Sus scrofa: one gene and its partner. The protein of the gene in region 2 binds, or shares a complex with, the protein of the main gene of each other region. Links are inferred from orthologs where the notes say so. Each region holds a gene or a part of one and is shown on either strand. Other genes may lie near its edges.

What was found.
Region 1: CHTOP (region 2) and SARNP share a complex: the UniProt entries of both Homo sapiens proteins name them as parts of the transcription/export (TREX) complex. The link is inferred for Sus scrofa from reciprocal best matches to the Homo sapiens genes CHTOP and SARNP.

Annotation. Positions count from the first base shown.
Region 1 is NC_010447.5:21,241,918-21,245,571, reverse strand, and holds part of SARNP (SAP domain-containing ribonucleoprotein), read left to right. Parts: intron 1-427; coding exon 428-501; intron 502-908; coding exon 909-937; intron 938-3,654. UniProt on the Homo sapiens protein: Binds both single-stranded and double-stranded DNA with higher affinity for the single-stranded form. Specifically binds to scaffold/matrix attachment region DNA. Also binds single-stranded RNA. Enhances RNA unwinding activity of DDX39A.
Region 2 is NC_010446.5:95,996,367-95,999,636, reverse strand, and holds the end of CHTOP (chromatin target of PRMT1 protein), read left to right. Parts: intron 1-530; coding exon 531-668; intron 669-2,347; coding exon 2,348-2,553; 3' UTR 2,554-2,753; downstream 2,754-3,270. UniProt on the Homo sapiens protein: Plays an important role in the ligand-dependent activation of estrogen receptor target genes. May play a role in the silencing of fetal globin genes.

The DNA.
Region 1 (3,654 bases), on a different chromosome or scaffold from region 2:
TTATCCTTTCCCTTTTGTTTTTGAGGACTTGAATGTAATAATAGTCTTTTTGTGTTTGCTTTCTGGAAAGAGCTGTTGAGTTAAGCCTTGGGCTGGATACAACCTGATATCCTCTAGGATTGTCAGTTTAGACTTCAAGAAAATACTCCTGATTGTATTTTTCATTGTAGTATACAGTAGAGAATTGGTTAAATAAGTGTGCACCATGGTACAGCAGAAGACCATACAGATGTTAAAAATTGTATTGAAGAGTATTTGTCAGATAAATGGAAAAAGCAAGTTATAAAATAATATTTGTAGTATTTTCCCATTTTGGTAAAAAAAAATGATGTTCTAAAGATACGCACCTCTAAACAACTTTTCTTTTAGAAGAAGGAAACCAGAAATTGAATTTTCTCTTCTACTTCTTTTGTCCATTATCACTTAGAGGATGCAGAAGAGAGCTGAACGATTCAATGTACCTGTGAGCTTGGAAAGTAAGAAAGCTGCCCGGGCAGCTAGGTGAGTGTCCCCAGCCTTTTGGACCTGAGATAGTGACACTAGGAAGCTAAGGGAGTGGGTTCCTAGGTTTTACATGTAATTGTTGATTTTAAGAGAATAGAGGCCTTGATTAAAAGAAAGGTATGATATAGTTTGGATTTTATCATCAAGCAGAATTTTTAATAATAGGTAAAAGTCAGGAACTCACTGCTACTCTCAACTCTGATAAGACTTCCTTTTAGCTATTCTCTGGATTCTTGGTGAGAAAAAGAGTCAACTGAACCTCTTTCATGGGGTTGTTAGAATTAGCTAATGATTGCAAGGATTGAGATCACAAGCAAGGAGTGCCATATGTACACTTAAAACGGAGACAGACAACCAGGAGTGTGAACAGCTTCCTAAAATTTAGCTTGTTTTTCTTTCTACAGATTTGGGATTTCTTCAGTTCCATCAAAAGGTAAGAATACAGAGACATCTGAGAAAGTTGTTTTTTTTTTTTTTTTTACTTTTTGGGCACAATAGATTCCATTTCTCTAAACTTTTTAGCATTAGAACCCTTTAAAAGGTTATTATATTCACGTCTTTATTTGCTTTAGGTAAAACCATACTCTAAATTGCCTTACTGGGCAATTTAGAGAAAATAACCGAAGTTAGGGGGGAATAAGGAAAGTGCCGGCATTTGTTTTCCTTTTCTTGGACATGTTCAGAGACGCTTCTAGTACCTTATTTATTCTAGCGTATCGATTCAGCATGTAATTATTGTGTACCTGTCCAGTTTATACTGCCTAGTGTAAGTGGCAAAAGAGAAAAGTATCTTTTACTTTCTAGGAATTTACAAGGAAATAATCTTGGCTACGCTTAAAGATTTAGCCACAAGGATTATCATAGTATTATTTATAGTGATCAATAACTGGGAACATTGTAATATACAGTAGAGAATTGGTTAAATAAATGTGCACCATGGTACAGCAGAAGACCATGCAGATGTTAAAAATTGTATTGAAGAATATTTGTCAGATAAGTGGAAAAAGCAAGTTATAAAATAATATTTGTAGTATTTTCCCATTTTGGTAAAAAAAAAAGTGCATGTATGTAAAGGAAAAAAGATTAGATGTATACTAAATCAACAACACTCATTATCTCTGGTAGAATTTTGGAGTGACTTCTTGCTTTACTGTGTTTAAAATTTTTGCAATGAATACGTATTTGTAGAGTAAATTAGGAAAAAAGGGTTTTTTTTTTTTTGTAGGTTATTCTTTTTAAAAAGAACATAGTACTTGTTCACGGGGGCTTTAAATGTAGTCTCCAGATCCAATCCAGTTTTCCTAGTGACTTGTCAGTAGTTTTAAGTCTATTAAAATGTCTTCTAAAGATCTTATGGAGTTTTGCGATACTCCTTTTGAAAGACCAGCAGGAGGGAGTTCCCATGGTGGCACAGTGGTTAACGAATCCAACTGGGAACCCTGAGGTTGCAGGTTCGATCCCTGGCCTTGGTCAGTGGGTTAAGGATCCGGCATTGCCCTGAGCTGTGGTGTAGGTTGCAGATGTGGCTTGGATCCCACATTGCTGTGGCTCTGGCGTAGGCCGGTGGCTACAGCTCTGATTAGACCCCTAGCTTGGGAACCTCCATATGCTGAGGGAGCGTCCCTAGAAAAGACAGGGGGAAAAAAAAAAAAAAAGACCAGCAGAATTCTGGTCACTGTCACTCTGAGAAAATATTTTCTGGGAGTTCCCGACGTGGCCCAGTGGTTAATGAACCCGACTAGCATCCATGAGGATGTGGGTTTGAACCCTGACCTCGCTCAGGGGGTTAAGGATCTGGCATTGCCGTGAGCAGTGGTGTAGGTTGCAGACTCAGCTTGGTTCTGGCGTTGCTGTGCTCTGATTTGAGCTCTGGCCTGGGAACCTCCATATGCCGCAAATACGGCCCTAAAAAGACAACAACAACAAAAAATTTCTGGCACTTAATTATGTCAAGAGAGAGATAATAGGATTGATGATGGTACAATAAAAATTTTAAAGATATTGTTAGATGGTGGTATTTGAAGAAAGACAAAAAATTAATATTTAGCCTAAAAAGGAAAACTGACCAATAAATAATGTATAGATAACATTCACAGTGCTACTCATATAATCTTAGAACTACAGAGTAGCTTTTAAAAGAATAGAATTTGGGGGAGTTCCCTTCTGGCCCATTGGGTTAAAGATCTGTTGTTGTCATTGCTATGGCTCTGGTTACAGCTATGGTGTGGGATCACTGCAGATGTGGCCAAAAAAAAAGAAGAGGATATGGCAACATTAAAAGGAAATATTGTTTTATGAATGAGAACATGAAAATACCTAATAGTCCTTAGCACAGTTGAGTACCATGACCGAATGTTTACAGTGAACAGTTAGGGAACCAATTTTAAGATTGAGATTGCTTAAAATTCTGAAAAGTTTTAAGCAAATAATTATTGACTAGATTAGGATTGGGCCTACAGGCCAATATACTACTTGCTTTCTTAGTGATAATTTCAGGACAGAACATTGACTCTAAGAAGTCATAATTTTTAAAATATGTTTATTTTTGCTTTTTAGGGCCACACCTGCAGCATGTGGAAATTCCCATGCTAGGGTCGAATCGGAGCTGTAGCTGCTGGCCTATACTATAGCCACAGCAGCATGGGATCTAAGCCATGTCTGTGACCTAAACCGCAGCTCATGGCACCGCCAGATCCTTAACCCACATCCTCATGGATACTAGTCAGGTTCATTACCACTGAGCCTCAACAGGAACTGCCATGATTTTTTTTTTTTTTTTTTTTTTTTAATTTTCTTTTTAGGGCCGCACCTATGGCATATGGAAGTTTTCTGGCTAGGCATCAAATCAGACCATAGCAAGCCTAGCTGCGTGTGCAACCTGTGCTGTAGCTTGTGGCAACACTGAATCCTTAATCCCCTGAGTGAGGCCAGGAATCGAAACCTTATGGATATTAGTCGGGTTCTTTTTTTTTTGTTGTTGTTGCTGTTGTTGTTTTGTTGTTGCTATTTCTTGGGCCTCTCCCGCGGCATATGGAGGTTCCCAGGCTAAGGGTTGAATCGGAGCTGTAGCCACTGGCCTACGCCAGAGCCACAGCAACGCGGGATCCGAGCCGTGTCTGCAACCTACACCACAGCTCACGGCAACGCCGG
Region 2 (3,270 bases):
AAAGCACATTCAAGTTCTAGATATAAGTCAAATCTAAGAAATGTATAGGTCTGTTGGCCTATATCTTAACATCTCTGTTCCTGGTTCCAGTGAAACACTCCATTGCATTGGAAAAAAGAGGACAAGTTGACCCATAGCATTTAGCTATATGTTACTTTTTTGGGCACTGTTACACTGTTCCCTGTATAGTTTTTGTCTCCTACAAAAATGTATTAAGAGCAGGAACCATTTCATTTATTTTTAAATCTACCATAATGCTAGGCACCTGATTATTCAATAGGTATTTATTAAATGTATGTACTTACTAATTGATCTAACTCCCAGCTTCCAAAAATGGATTGTGGTCAGACTTGTTGAATTGATTGAATAAAGAGCAGCTTAATCTGTTGACACTCAGTGTGCAGCTTGCCCCACCCAACCTAAAAATTAATCGAATTAACTCATTTAACCCTCACTGCCTTCCTTTGGTTAGAATCTACTTTGTCTCTCTTGGATTTACCTGCATATACATTGTATGCCTCCTCTCCAAGGTCAAAACCTGCTCCGAGGTGGACGAGCCGTAGCTCCCCGAATGGGCTTAAGAAGAGGTGGTGTTCGAGGTCGTGGAGGTCCTGGGAGAGGGGGCCTAGGGCGTGGAGCTATGGGTCGTGGCGGAATCGGTGGTAGAGGTTAGTCAGCTACCAACTTCAGAGAATAGCACCCCCTTATTTTCTCTCCCTTCAAAACTCAGAGCCACCTTTCTGCACAGCTTCAAGTCATAGGCAGGCTTATTTGTTTGTCTTGTTTGTTTTATGAAACTGGCTTATTTTCTAAATTCACATGCTGGTAGTGTGAAAGTCTGTCATGGGTTTTCCAAGAACAGTCAGGTATGTGTTACAGAGCCAGGTTATAGTCAGTCTTTCAGGCTCTTGCAAATTTAAATTGTATCATTAAAGTGATAAAATTGTCAGTATGGGGTTTCATCTTTTTCTGTCCCTGGCCCCACCACCACACACCCCATCCCACAGCTCGTAACCCCACTTTTGGGCCTAAGATTTAGAGAAGAGAGAGATGTACAGAAACGAATCAGTTAAAGAGGATGGTGAGGCTTGGTGCTAGGTATTGACTCTGAAACCAAGTAAATTTAAGGTAAAGTTGGTGTCTGTGTGAAACCAGAGATGACTTTTTTTTTTTTTTTTTGATCAAGATTAGAAAAGCAAGATGGTATTGTGTCAGTTAACTAACTGACTCTTGTTGATAATCTCATCGTGAGACTTAGTGATACCTGTCACGTGACTTCATGGCCCAGATTGGAAAAGAGATTTTATGGTGTTGCTGTTAATACCAAATCTCCTGGGAATTTTCTGGCTTAAAGTTTTGTGGAAAACTCCCAACAACACCTGTTCAGGAAAAAAAATACATCCTTGTTGCCCCTGTGTATATTTGCTTTGATCTTTTTTAAAGTGTGTGGTGGGTCTTCCATAATTGATGACCTTGAAGCTGCCAGGGGATAATAACTACTGGGAAAGGAAATTTGATAACTGAGGGCTTGTTTTCTTCTCTCGCATTATATGTTGCTTGGCTTATTGAGTGAAGGGCAAACTAGTTTGGGTTTCAGGATGAAATAGCATGTTTCCAAATTATCTTGACTTGGTTTCTGAGAGAGACATCACAGGAATGGGAGTGGGGGAGGCTCTAAAGTAGCTTTTCAGAAAGCTGGGTGTGTTTTGTTAAGTGAATTGAAACCACCTCTCAGATAACCATATTTGTTAAAATGTGGATAGAATTGCAGATAGAAATGGCTGGCACTACTCAGAATGTTTTTCCCTAATCTCCCTTCATTGTTCCCATGTCAGAATAACTCCTCAGTCTCCTGACATGGGATCAGCTCATTAGGTTTGATAAGTTTGAGGAGAGACAAGCTAATTTTTCAGAAGGATGTCCAATAAAGTTTAATTAAAAACTTTACACTCATTTTTCTGTGCCCTTGTTACTTCCTCCCTGTTTTACTACATGGGGTTATCTATAGTGTGTTTGTATTTTAATTATAAACTTACAGTGAGTCTCAAGTTTTAGCTTCTATTTTAGAAGAGATTGAGTCAATTTTAACTTTCAGTTAAATATTTTCCCTCTGTTGATAGAATAAAAATTTTTAAATAGCATTTAGAGAGGAGCATGTAATAAGGGATTCATTATGTGTGCTTTCCATGTGTTGCTTTCTACCCAGTGTGTTTCCTGTTTTTCCAGATTTCTCCTCTTTGCCCTGCCCTTCAGTCTCTCTCAGCTAGGCCCCACTGCTCTGAGGGGCATTTACCATAGCACCTATTAAACCTACTTGTAACTATTTCTTCTTTTTCCCTTGGGCCAGGTCGGGGTATGATAGGCCGGGGAAGAGGGGGCTTTGGAGGCCGAGGCCGTGGACGTGGACGAGGGAGAGGTGCCCTTGCTCGCCCTGTACTGACCAAGGAGCAGCTGGACAACCAATTGGATGCATACATGTCGAAAACTAAAGGACACTTGGATGCTGAGTTGGATGCCTACATGGCACAGACAGATCCTGAAACCAATGATTGAAGCCTGCTCGCCCTCCTGTGAGACTCTTGTTCTAGTCACACATCTGTAAATAACCTTGAGATAACAGATGGGAAGAAACCTGATTGATGCTGGAAGGACCTATCATAATAGGCTGTGGACTGACTTGCCACAAGTTTGTGCATTTAGTGTGTTCCTTTTACTTTTTGATACTGTGTTGTATGAAACACTTTTTTCCTCTGACTTGGGTTTTGTTTTGTTGTATTGTTTGAGGTGGGTTTTGGTTTTTGATTTTTTTTTTTTTTTCCTTTGCCCAGACTTATCTTTGAACACAAATGTGTTGGCCTTATGGCTAGTATACCCTTTTCTCGCCTCTGCCTCCCCCTCACCTGTCACATACTTTGACATTCTAACATTTTTTCTGTTCATCTCTGTGCCCCCATGAAAAAGTCCCAGAAAGAGCCCTTCGGTGTTCCTCCTTAATGTGTAGGTTTATGAGATATAGTTTTGCATCATTTTTAATAGCCTCCTTTAGAGGCTTTTAAAATCTGGAGCTCAAAAATGCATTCTGCCACATTGATGTTTTTAGTATGGTAAATGAGGAACCTTGACATAGCTACAGGGCCACCTAACAGGTTACACCTGGTAGCTCTGATTTGATTATGGGTATCACAGTGTACATTTGCACCACATAAGCAATATGCTGGTTTGGTATGTGCACTTTCTACCCTGGAATGGGACTTAAAAACTTTCCTCTTG